Linked DNA regions of Lonchura striata. The protein of the gene in region 2 purifies or fractionates together with the protein of the main gene of each other region. This does not show direct contact. Links are inferred from orthologs where the notes say so. Each region holds a gene or a part of one and is shown on either strand. Other genes may lie near its edges.

Evidence for each region.
Region 1: the proteins of RAF1 (region 2) and CDC25A purify together in Homo sapiens (affinity purification with western blotting; 3 studies listed by BioGRID and IntAct, with this or other methods). This does not show direct contact. The link is inferred for Lonchura striata from reciprocal best matches to the Homo sapiens genes RAF1 and CDC25A.
Region 3: the proteins of RAF1 (region 2) and LRRC59 purify together in Homo sapiens (affinity purification with mass spectrometry; 3 studies listed by BioGRID and IntAct, with this or other methods). This does not show direct contact. The link is inferred for Lonchura striata from reciprocal best matches to the Homo sapiens genes RAF1 and LRRC59.

The regions. Positions count from the first base shown.
Region 1 is NC_134603.1:156,258,635-156,262,886, reverse strand, and holds the start of CDC25A (M-phase inducer phosphatase 1), read right to left. Parts: upstream 2,906-4,252; 5' UTR 2,778-2,905; coding exon 2,623-2,777; intron 494-2,622; coding exon 414-493; intron 1-413. UniProt on the Homo sapiens protein: Tyrosine protein phosphatase which functions as a dosage-dependent inducer of mitotic progression. Directly dephosphorylates CDK1 and stimulates its kinase activity. Also dephosphorylates CDK2 in complex with cyclin-E, in vitro.
Region 2 is NC_134614.1:4,710,130-4,714,381, forward strand, and holds the start of RAF1 (RAF proto-oncogene serine/threonine-protein kinase), read left to right. Parts: upstream 1-1,290; 5' UTR 1,291-1,614; intron 1,615-4,252. UniProt on the Homo sapiens protein: Serine/threonine-protein kinase that acts as a regulatory link between the membrane-associated Ras GTPases and the MAPK/ERK cascade, and this critical regulatory link functions as a switch determining cell fate decisions including proliferation, differentiation, apoptosis, survival and oncogenic transformation.
Region 3 is NC_134621.1:5,720,554-5,724,805, forward strand, and holds the start of LRRC59 (leucine-rich repeat-containing protein 59), read right to left. Parts: upstream 2,960-4,252; 5' UTR 2,835-2,959; coding exon 2,730-2,834; intron 2,385-2,729; coding exon 2,325-2,384; intron 1,810-2,324; coding exon 1,651-1,809; intron 1,346-1,650; coding exon 1,241-1,345; intron 656-1,240; coding exon 583-655; intron 159-582; coding exon 1-158.

The DNA.
Region 1 (4,252 bases), on a different chromosome or scaffold from region 2:
CTCATGTGAAAAACAGGAAATCCTCCCAGGAAGTACCAGAACTGAGGGGTTTCAGATCAGATCACCAACCCGTGCCCTGGGTAACAGGAGAACACAGGACAGAGCCACTCACTGGCACAGTCTGGGTTTAAAGAGAGAAAACACAGTGAGGACTTGTTTTCACTCCCTACTGCTCACAGCCTCCAGGACAATTAAAGCAAAATTTAAAATAATAATTCAAAAAAATCTACAGCCCAAACCACGAGCTGCAGAGGTTTCCTGGGGGATTTTCCATCTGCCTCCCTCCTTCCAAGGGCATGGGAAAGAGAGGGGGCTGCAGGCAGGGCCAGTTCTCTCTCCAAACCCTGGGTGCCATGTAGGAGTGCATTGCTTTGCAATTCCTAATCAGAATTTATTAATTGAGGCAGCCCCACCTGAGTCTGTGGACTCTGAAGATGCTGATCTGTGCAATCCATTTTTGGTTCCCACGTCCTGGTCCAAATTTTCATGCTGCCTGGAAAGGAAAATTTGGGATTTGCTTTAAAAGCAAGAAACACAACACTGCAGGTAGGTACAGCACAGGTGGGCATCACCTGGAGTTCTATCAAAGCCCAGTTATCCTTCCTGGAACTGCAATCCTCTTTGGCAGACACTCCTTTAATTCAGGTTTTGCATTGATAAAATTGCTGAATTTCTAATTCAAACCCATTTTGATAAATAGTTACCTCCCAAATTTTGTTTTATCTGCTAAACCTCAGTGCTGAGAGAGAAGAAAATCATATGGAGTCCCACATATAAAAAGGAAAAGCTACCTGAGTGAGGCTCCAGCATGTGGTTAATTAAAAAAAGAATGTAGCCAGGGCTACAAAATCAAAGGGCTGAATAAATTCCAAGAGGGGCACTGCCAATGGCTTGCAGGAATCCCAGGAATCTGAAGGAAGGATGGGACCATAAGGCAGGTGGTGGCAGAAATGAGAACAGAAAATCAACAAACAAAATCCAGGAGGGTCATTGAGACCTGAGTGGGCCAGGACAAAACAGGAGCCACACAAGGGAGGAACTGTGGGAATAATGGGATTAGAGGAGTTAAGAGAGCAGGAAAAGGGAGCAGCTGGGGTTTAGGGAAGGGGTGCAGCTGCAGAGCACAGAGCAGGAACAGGGCAGGCAGGAGGACATGGAAGGGACACAAAGCTTTTTGTGGGAGAGAGGGAAAGCCAGGGAAGGGCTCAGGAGGGAGGGGAATGCCCAGAGCAGAACCTGGGCAGGGGGAAGGTGTCCCAGAGCATGGATCTGTGTGGGATGGGGGCAGGAGGGCAGAACAGATGGGAGGCAGCAGCCAAAGGGGGCCCTAAGGGACTCCTGGAGGTTTGTGGGGTGGTGTCAGCGGTCAGGAGCACACAGAATCACAGGATATGACTCTATGCAGCTGCTTCTATTGAGAGCTCTGGGAATCAGGGGTACAGACCCAAATCTGACTCCCACATGGCTTTCGAGCTGAACGTATTTTATATTCTATCCTTACAGAACTTACATATTAATTATTAATTAAACTTATATTGTTCTATTGTATACATTGACCTTATTCAACCATGAGTTTCTCGTGATCTTTCTTAAGCTTCTGACCAGTTTCTCATGATTATTCCTACGATCAAACAGTAATTATATTTAATTACTAAACAATCATCACATCTAACAATTATATCACTTATCACGTACCAGCTACACAGGTGCAGTTCCAGCAAGGCACAAGGCCTACACGTTCCCAGGGTATTTTCCCAGGGCCTACTAAGCTTCATTTTCCTTCTAACCCTAAATCCCCGTGATTTTAAAACCCTTTCACGATCAGCGGGAGGGTTAAAACCGAGGCCTCGTGGGTGGGCGCGGGCAGAAGAAACAGCCCCGGGAGGCCTCGTTTTTGGGGGAAGGGCTGGGGGAAGAGGGGCTGGAGGTGTGGGGAGGGCGCCTGGAAGGAGAGGAAGCGGGATGAGCCCGCAGTGCCGGGCGGGGAGAAAGGGAATAAAGAGAACCCTCCATTGGGGGTGGGGGGAAAGGGAATAAAGAGAACCCTCCATTGGGGGTGGGGGGAAAGGAAAAGGAGGGATCCACGAGGCTGTTTTTTGGGGGGCTAGGGCAGATGAGCACCCCGAGGCTTTTCCTTGGGAAGGAGGGGGGACAGGGAAGGGAAGGAGTTCCTGAGAGCTGGGAATAGCTGGGGAAGGTGAGGGGGGGGTTAAAAGACGTGCCTGGGGCTTTGGGGCTTGCGAGGGGCATAAAGCCATCAAAGGGGTTTGGGGTTTTTATCCGTGTAATTCCCTAAGGGTTCCCAGTGTAAAATACGCGTTTTTCACAATAGCGCGGGAGGGAATTACGGGGGTGGAGGGAAGGCGAGGAAAAGGACTCCTGGAGGCCTGGGGGGGGGTTTATACAAGGGGGAGCCTCCCTAGGCCCGGCAGCGGGAAGAAAGCGTTTTGGAGAGGGACAAAGTGCCCGGAGCAGAGCAGGAAGGAGCTCCCTTGGCACGGCAGGAAGCAGCGCGGGACGAGCCCTCCAAACCTCGCTTTTTCCTGTGGGAGAGGGGGGGTCACCACAGAGGGGAGAAAAAGGAGGCGCCCGGGCTCTGGTGGGGCCCGCGCCCCGACTCACCCGCGCCCCAGCTGCTCCATGGTGAGGCGGAGATCCGAGACAGGCGAGAGCTCATCCTGAAACAGCGCCTTCACCACGGCGGGCGAGGCGGGGGAGGCCGGCGAGAGCAGCAGGAGGCGGCGGCGGCGGTGCGGAGCGCTCGGGGTGGGCTCCATCGCAGCGGGACCGGGGATGCAGCGCAGCCCTGCCGCCCCGTCCCGTCAGCGCGGCCGCCGCGGCGTTTTGACCCCAACCGGTACCCGTCGCCCGCTCTGAAGCTGGCGCCAAACCGCGGCTCGGCCAATCAGCGCGCGGGGCCCCGCGGGGGGCGGGTTGTTTTTTTTCAAACCTCCCCTCCCACCGCGCGCGCTCCGGCCAGTAGGAACGGCGGCGCCGCGGCCAGGCCCCGCCCACGGCGGTTGCTTGGCGTCGCTCTGGACCAATAGGAACGCGAGGAAATCGGAGTTGGGGGGGAGTGCGCGCCAGCGCGGAGGGACTACATTTCCCAGTATTCCTAGCAGGCGCGCCGCGTTATCGCTGTCTGCGTTGCATGCTGGGTAATGTAGTTCCCGTCTCATAGCGGCGCCTCTTTGCCGCCATGTTTCCGGCCGTCTCCCTTTAGCCTGGGCATGAGGGGAAAATGGGGAACGTGAAGGAAAAAAGGCACAAACTCAGCAGATAACGCCGCCTCGCTGAGACAAAGAGCCCTTCCCACATGGTTTCTCATCAAATGAGCTCTCCCTGAGAACAAAAGCCACTTTGTGAGGCGTTTGGTGAGCGGCTGGGGAAGTAAGGCACTGCACATCCCTGCAACACCAGGATGGGGTTCACGGACAGAGGAGCAGGAAAAGGGAGACTTGACAGTACTCCACATAAACTCTTTAGGACACTCAGCTTCTCCCCAGCTGAGCGTTCGCAGATCCGTGCTGTCCAGCCCCTGGCAAATCCTCTGCCATGTCTCTGGTGGTTCCAGAGGCTGCTGTGTCCAGCTGATCGCTTTGGATGCAGGGGATCTCCAGGACACGACCCCTGCGCCCTGCCACCCCCAGTCACACAGTGCTGCTGGTTCCTGGATTAGACAGTGGGGTGTTTGATCCTTCCCTGAGCATGCCGGATCTCAGAGATTGCCATCACACCCCGGCTCCTGCTGCTCTTCCAGGCACCCTCACTCCTGCTATCCCTCCCTGAACATTTTCCTTTTTACAAGACTTTTTTCAGCAGTTACCACCACCAAACAGCATTGGCTTCCTAAGCCAGGAATTGTGGGTTCTGTTCCATCTAGGTTGCCAGAACTGATGCCTTGTGAAGGCTGACCCAGAACAGAGGCTAGACAGAGTTAAAGAATAAAGTAGGTATTTAGTAAAAGGCCTTAATGGCTGCATCTTGGGCAGCGCAAGAGCCCAGCCAGGGCTACACCCAAAATGAACCAAAATTGTCACAAAATGCATGACCAGTCATGAGGCTTCTCACTTTTATAAGTTTTGGTCCATTTGCATATTGGAGTTAATTGTCCAATTCCAGCTTCAGGGTTATGAAGTCCTACCCTTCTTCTTTTTCTCTCTTCAATTCACTGTTGTTTATACTTTTGGGGCCTGGACCTTCTAAGGGTTATCACTGGTCTCAGGCTGGAAAAGGATTGTTTTCTCTACCA
Region 2 (4,252 bases):
CTCAGGTTACTTAATTTGCCCAAACCAGCTTTAAATATGCCAGGAATAAAAGGTGTATTTATCAACTTCATGGGGTGGAGAAAACTGACGGGTCACAGTTGCTCTGGTGACATCTCTGTCTTCAACTTGTTTTGCTCTGCATTTGTTCCTTGTGAAAGGACAGAGAAGCTGCCTTGTAAAAAAGTGATTTTCAGGTGCTGTCAGTGTCATACACACTCTGGATCTCCAGGAAATCCATCCTGGCAGCCCAGCATTCCTGCCTCCCCATGTGAGCTCCGTGCTCTCCCTGCTCCATGGCAAGCGCAGTGCTCTCTGTTTGCCTTGATTTCTCCTCTTTCCTGCCAACAAAGCCTGAGCCCTGCCAGGACACACAGCACAGTGCTGCAGAGGGCAGGAGGGAGCATTCCCAGCTTTTGGAGCATCACTCCCCGGATGGGCAGGCTGAGCCCTCTGCTGCAGCCCAGCTCTGCTGCTGGCTCCTCCTCTCACCTCTGGGGCTGAAAGCCTCCCCACACTCCTATTTTCCTTCCTTGGAGCAATCACACTTTGTTGTAGACACGTTGCTGTGGTTACAGATCCTGGAATAGTCAGGATGAACAATTTCTCCATCAGGTAAGTTGGCAACCCTTCACTTGCTTCTCTGCTACAGGACCAGAACAGAGAGCTAAGAGGTGAGTTCAGGTAAGGTGATTCAGCCAGATTTATTCCAGTTGTGCAGCATGGAGAGGAAAGGTAAAAACCTGGCAGCTGGGTAGGAGATGTGGTCCTTATTGATCAGGAGCAGACCTGGGGCTGCAGTTTTGTGTGTGTAAAAGGAGCCACCGTGGCCTGGGATGTGTGCCCTGGGAGGGAGGTGGCTGTCAGCAGTGGCCTCTTCTGATTTACCCACTCTGCCAGCAGCCCTTTCCAAAGGCAGCCTAGCCTGCTCTGTGCACGCCTGCCCCGTGCCAGGGTTAGTGCAGGGGAAAGCTTGGCTTTTCCTGTAAACTCCTGCTCACACTGAAGCCATTTAACACGGATCTGCTGTGGGACAGACCTCCTTGCATCTTTGATGTCTATTTGCTCGCCCCTAACCCGTCTGATGCAGTCCCCCCGCTGCTTTCCCAAGGCAGGGGACAAATTCAGGAGTGGGGCTCCCAGGTTCTGCCCAGTGCCAGCTCTGTGCTGATGGTGGCTGCAATTCCTGGCTCGCAGGGACCCGGCTCCAGTTACATTTGCTGGCGTCAGGCGGGCTCTGCAGACCACTGCAGCTAAAAATAAAAGAATCCAAAGCACAAACCCCGAAGAGAGAGGGATGTTAAAATTCCAGGAAAGCTGTAGGAAAAGCTGGAGAGGCGCAGGAGCAGCCCTGGGGGGACAGCACCAACATTTTGGGGCACTTTAAATTAAGCCTCTGGGTTTGCCTGTTTTTAGCCCTGTCACCCGTGTGACCCTGCGGGGCTCAGCCCCTGGCTCCAGGTATTTGTGCTCACACAAAGGAGGCTTTGGAGCCTTTTGGGAAGCAGAACCATCCCTGGTGTCCCTGCTGGCCCTGAGAGCTCCCAGAAGTCCCAGCCTTGGGATTGCCCTGGATCCAAACCCTCGGATGGTGCTGGGTGTGGGAACACGGCTCTGGTGAGTCCTGAGTGGGCCGAAGGGGGGAACGGGGTTTTCACAGCTTTTGCAGCACCTTTACTTGTCTGGGAGGTTAACAGTGGATCTGTGAATCCAGGCCAAAGGGTCGGGATTAAATACTTACCAAACCTGCTTCCAAAGGCTAAATTAATTAGTCTGCAATCAGATGGAAAAGCCCCAGTGCTATTTCTAAGGGGAGGTTTATGAATTTTGTATGAAGGTTTTGGTGGAAATTTCCACAATTTCTGAGCACAGATCATAATCTAATAATCTTTGAAACTGTCATTTTCTATTTAAATATTAAATAGATACAGAGATTAATGTTTACCAGGTACAAAGTTGTATTTTGAAGTGTGCCTGCCCTTTCCTGGAGCAGCACAGCTCCATTTCAGGTCGGCAGACTGCTTGCCTTTGACCCGTCTGCAAAAACCCTTTCCAGATTTAATCGAAGCCTCTTTGCAGGAGGCTTTATCTCTGCCTCCTTTTTGGGTGCTGTGAAACTAAACCCACCAGGAGTGTGAAAGTGAGGTTAAAAAGCAGCTGTGTGTTTGCATAACAATGGATTATATCCATGCAGTGCAGGGCTCCATCTGCCCCTGGAGCTCCTTGCATGTGGGTCAGAAGTTTCCAAACGATGGCTGAGATTAATGTGTGCAAAGGCCTGGGTTTTCCAAGTGTGCCACAGTTTAATCCTGCCTCTCTCCAGGGTTTTGGGAGTGCTGGGAATCACAGGAGCACAGAATGAGCTAGATCAGGATGAACAGGAGCACAGAATGGAGAAGACCTCTAAGACCATCTGGTTCTGCTGCTCCACAGGGAGAGCTCAGCCTGGCTGTGCTGCTCAGGGGCTGCAAAGCCTGCACTGCTGCAAAGCCTGCACTGCTGCAAAACCTGCACTGCTGCAAAGCCTGCACTGCTGCAGAGGCCCCTGCAGGGCTGAGCAGTGGGGCCAGCACCTTGCCCTGGTGTGCATTTTGGAGATTTGCTTTGGTTCTTCCCCTTAAGAACAGCAGCTCCTTCTGAAGGGAGCTGGAGGTGACTCCTGCCAACTTTGTTTGGGTGTTTGGAGCAGCACAGGGGTTTTTAATGGGATCATGGAATATCTGAGCCAGGAGGGACCCACAGATGATCCAGCCCAACCCCTGGCCCTGCACAGGCACCCCAGATCCCCCTGTGCATCCCTTGGGCAGGGTTATCCCATCACTGGGTGTGCAGTGTGTGATGTGTGTCACGTCCTCAGGCAGCTCCAAACCTGTTCCTGTGTGCCTCGTGCAGCTCCACTCCTTATTCAGGACTTCTCCTCCTGGTCCAAGCTCAGTTTCCCAGAAATCAGCTTAGTTTTTGTTAAAAGAGTTGCCTGATACAGCTCAGGTGTCCCCACATTCATTTTCTAGCAGCAGGTGCTGGGAAGAGCTTCAGTGTGTGCCCAGGGTGCAGTCAGAGCTACCAACATCCTCTGGTTTTGGATTGGAAAACCCCACTATTCCCTGAAAATCTGCAATGCCTACTGACCTCAAGATTAGCCCTGCACTGGTGTATTTTAGGCTCACCTCACTCTCCAGCAGAATTAGAATTAGCCCTCCAAAGACCTGGGCCAGGCTCATTTTACTTCTTCCTGTAGTCATTAATTAAGGTAGCAGCTAATTTTGTATGGGATCTTTTATTTTTGGCTGTATTTTATAGAATGATTGCTGGTGAAAGTTGGATGTGTTGCATCTTGAATATTGCTGAGGCTGGAAAACAGCCAGAACAACCAAGGAGCAGAACTTCCAGGCAGTTTTCCATATCTGCAGTAAAGCTCAAGTCTGCAGCGAAGTTATCTGAGGAATTCAGGCTGTGAACAACAAATGGAAAGGGAATGACACAGATATGAGGTGGGGGGGAAAGTGAGGTATTTTATGATTTTGGACAGCTTCCTGCAGTTATATCACTGCATTGTTATTATTCCTCAGCAAAATCAGAGACGAGAGATTGCACTTGAGCAGCTCCACTCATTCCTGGCAACCTGGGGAAATCCAAGTGAGCTGAGAGAGGTGGATCAGAGGTGATTCCCCACCCGTGCCCATTCATTCCAGAGTGAAATAGCCAAGGACCAGCACGTTGTGGATATTTCCCAGTGTTTTAATGACTTTGTGCTTCCTCTTTGGCACAGTTTGTCAAGTATTCCATGGCTTTTTTAAAGAACAAGGAGACTGAGCTTACTGTGTTCTGAATGTCAGAGCAGATTTCAAGGGGAAAAAAAATCCCTAAAACCCATTGCTCTACAAACAGCAAGACTAAAGCAGTTTCACCACAGATTTATATGGTCTCATCCCTAAAGCACCTCTGCTATAAGTATAACTATATATATTTATATATAAGGATAAATATATATCAATCATTATATAATTATATATATATAATTATAATTATTTTTTAAAATTTATAGAAAAGGATATCTTAACTGTGGTTCTCATTTTAGAGGGTAAGCCCCTCACGTACTGGGGCTAATTCAGCCTCAGGTACATGGGCACTGAGCAGCCTGCTGCATAAACAGGAATATTTGGTGCCTCAATTCTTTCTCTCCTTCAGTTGAGGTATGAACATGGTTCCTTTTTCTGTCTTCAGTTGCTGACTTCCAAGAACCTTTAGAAAATTA
Region 3 (4,252 bases), on a different chromosome or scaffold from region 2:
TTCCTTTTTTGTTTTCTTTTCCATCTCCTGTTTTGCAGCTTTCTGAGCATCGTACTCCCGCCTTCTGCGCTCTTTTTCCTCTGCCTTCTCTCGCTTCCGCAGTTCTCTCTCCAGAGCCTCCTTTGCTCGCTGTTCTGCTTCACGCTTCTTCTCCATTTCTGGGGGTTAACAGCAAGTTTTCCCCTTTTATGTAAGAGGGTTGTCACTGCCATTTTCCTTACTACCTTATTGTCCCAACTGGAATGAGGAAGCCAATTAAACAACTATCATCTTTTTTTATAATTTTATTTAGTATTACATACCTTGCATTTTGCTGTGCTTTTCTTTCAAGTTTCGTAGATAACCTATAGCACATTCCATCTAGAGATTTAACTATTCCTCAGGCCAAGGAATCACATACACTACTCCCCTGCTATATTTCTCCCTCCAGCCATTTTACTCTACTATTCCTTGAGTGCTTTGACTACTTTGGCTACAAGTATATGTTAGATGGCAATTTATTAGATGGTGATCAGAATGTTTGGATGTGTTAGACCAAGAGCAGTCCTCAGCAGACTGCACGTGGGGGCTGTTTGTCCCTACCTCTCTCTGCCTGGAGTTTCCGCTGCCGTTGTCGATCTTGCTCGGACTGGATTGCTTTCATGTGCTGCAGTACCTTAAAAAGCCAAGAAAACAACCTGAGGGCTGTGCAGAAGCCCAGTGGCACAGTCAGTTCAGAACAGAACAGATGGAGTATGGCTTAGAACAAGCAGCTGGGGCTGACTCCCAACCCTCCCCTATCCCTACAGCTACAGCACTGGAAAGAACTCACAACTTGTGTGAGTTTCTGTTGTAAAAAAGCCAATCCTCCTGTTAAAAACAAACATGGCAAACTGGTGCTCAGTGATACATAGGATCACAGAACATTTCTATTTATGTTTGCCAGAACTTCTCCAGAGCTTTTTGTGCTATCAGCACAGGCATGAATTACTATGTCTTATTATGCCTCTATTTTCTTGGGAACCAGTATTTCATCCTCTCTTCACTCCACCAATGGAGAAGCATCCTCCTCAGCCGGGTGTTTGCTCTCCACAAGCATAGCAATAGGGAAGTCAGTGCAGTGGACCTGCACCTCACTCCCTGAAGAAACTTTGGGCTGGGCTCCTGCAGCAGATACCCAGCTCACTAAGCAGAGAAAGAATCACTGGCAAAGCCATTAAAGGAAAAAAAAAAAAAAATACAATAAAACCAGACTCCTTACCTTGACAGCAGCCTGCTTACACTGCTTCTCATCCAGACAGTCTCCTGCCACTTTAGCCAGGACAGGATCCAGGGGATTGTCCTTCAGATCCAGCCACTTCAGGTTCTGCAAAAAATCACAACAAAGGGGAGGCTGTAAGAGCACAGCAGTCCTGGAATTATTTAAGAGATCCGAAGCAGAAGCAAAGAACTGCTTAGTTTTCACATTAATGAAACAGGTACAGAAAATGAGCAGAGTTGTTTTCAATAGACTGAGAGGATTTTCACTGAGCTGTGATGCAGACCCAGCTGAATTTTGGAATGAGTAGTCAGCAGGATGGATGCTTTACCAGAGAAATCAACTTGAGCAGGATCACAAGACCCTGGGCTGCATCCCAAAGCTTTACGTAACTGCCCAGCAAACAGTTTTACCTTGAGCTGTGCAAAGCTGACTGGCAGGGTGACCAAGCGGTTGTTCAGAAGGTCCAGGTGCTGCAGATTGACCAGGCGGCCAAAGTCCAAGGGCAGCTGTTGCAACCGATTTTTACTCAAATCCAGTTTCACCAGATGCATCAAACTGCAGAAGTCTGACTAAAACCCAAACAAAGAAAACCCAGAGAAAGCCGGTTAGCGCCTTTATGGAAGAACCTAAGTGGGAAGTATGTGGAGACAGCCTGCACCTTGCATCAGGCACACATCCTTGATTTACTACAAGACTGTGATGGAGGAAGATTACTCTCCTCCTTTGCCTTGGAAGATGGAGGTGAGACACAGTAGGACAGATAGACAGACTGAGAAGGTTATGGATGACAATATGACAGGAACAAACCCAAGTCTCCACTGCGGATGAAAGTCCTCTCTATTAACCTGGGGATGCTCTGGAAGGAGTGTACTGCAATCTTCACACAGTTCAACCCTGTACTCTCTCCTGCCTCAGCCAAATCACTGCCAGCACTGACCCGTCACTGACAACGAGTCATTCAGCCACCCCAGGGCAGTGAAAATGCCAGTTCCACGGTGCCTGGTGAGCCTCTCCTGAAGCACCAGCTATCTTTCCAAATATTTCCCAGCAGACACATCCCCACGGAGGCTCTCTAGCACCTTACCGGCAAGGAAATGAGGTTGTTACAGGACAAATCCAAGATAGTAGCTTTCGGAAGAGCGGCCTGAAAGACAAATAAAGCACTGAATGAACATGGAGGTTCACCCGACCCCCTCTGACACCTGTTCTGCTTCGGCCTCTGCGGTTTCTCCCGCGTCAGTCTGTCCATCCCCCGCGGCTGCTCCGAGGCCACGTCATCTCCGGATCCATCTCTGTATCCAAAAAGGTTCTTATCCCGGGACAGCAGTGACTAGCGGCTGTCGGGCCCGCGGGACAGAACCTCGCTGCTTTCAATACCTGCAGGCCAGCTCACAAGCCCCCAGCACATCCAGCTCCCCTACGCTGCTCCTTCCCGGGGACCGGCAGGCGGTCCCCAGCCCCGCCGGGGGGGGTACGGCCGGAGACTCACCAGCTCCCGCACCGGCACCTCGTTCAGGTCGCAGAGGCTCAGGTCCAGCTCGTTCCCATCCAGCTTATCCTTCAGGCTGATCCCCTTCCCGCTGCCCCGCGACATGGCTCCGTCGGCGGCTGCCCGCGGGGGATGCGGCTCGGTTGGGTTCGGAGCGGCTCGGCACGGCTCGGCACGGCACAGCCCAGCCCGGCGTGGCACGGCCCGGCCCCGCCACCCACTTCCGCGGCCACGTCTGCACGGGCCCCGCCAGCCGCCCCGAGCGCGCCCGCTGCCGGCCCGGAGCGGGGCCGCACCGGCGCCGCAGGACACCGAGTTACCCTAAGAAAGAACGTTACCTGATGCTCGATCTCTTTCAAACCTAAGCAAAAAGAAAGGAGATTTAATCCCCGAAGCAGACAACCGCTAATAAGCTCTGAGCGCTTAGAAAGACGAATTACTTGTTGGTAGAATTGTCTTGTTAGGGTTTAATGTTGATGCGATGATCTCAGATGTAATGGGATGTTAACAAAGCTTGGGAAGAAGGATGTACTACTGATAGTGGGTACAAGGAATGCAGGATTTATGGGCTACAAGAACATTAGGCAGAATTTCCAAGATAAGGAAGAAACTAATAAAGCTGGCTCAGCAATTGGGTTGAATCAGCTCCAAGCAGGTAAAAGGTAGTTCTGTCAGGAGTAGATTATGACCACCTATTCATGGACACAGACCCAAGAAACCCACCAACCCAAAAGAAGAGAGACAAGACTGTGGACTAATTAGTATGGGAAGTGAAAAAAATCATTAGGCATTGGAAGATAGAATACTAATTGATATGAGAACCAGATAACTCGTAGCCAATGAACATTAATGCCTTTTGTTTGCTAAAATATATAAACAGTCAAAAGTTTTGACAGTTGTCATGCTGGCTTTGTGGATTTGCCATCCAGTGCAGAACTGTAAATAAATCAAATACTACAACTCTGGGTTTGGGTTGGCCTCCTGTACACTGGGTGGGAGAGCCTATTTTGGGACACACTGGCACAGCTCAGGGCATCCTTGCAACTGTCCCACCAGCCCTGGAACCCTGGCCAGGTTGGCAGGAGTTTAGATCTGGGCTACATGAAACAGCCCTGCAGAAGGCAGGAGAACTCCCAGCCAAGACCCATGAGCAGGGGCGGTTTTGCATCCAGTCACATCACCTGACACACAGAGAACCAACTGGTTTATGGCCGATAATCCCAACAGAAACCCAAGGATGTATACCTTGTTTTGCAATACCTGATATAGCTGCTTATATCTGTCCACACTCTCCATAATCCAGGGGCTGAACTCCCTCTCAGTTTGGCTGTTACATTACCCCACAATGTCTGTTCACAGGAGGGACACTTAATGGATATTCCTGCTTTGCTCCCAAGGCTCCAGTCCCACAGGAGCAGGGCACTCTGTGGAGAAAGTCAGTGAAAGAGAAAGGAGCCTGGGGCAGAGCCAAATTAGTGTTACCTGGTACTGGGATTACAGCATGAATTTCCTGACTTCTGTGC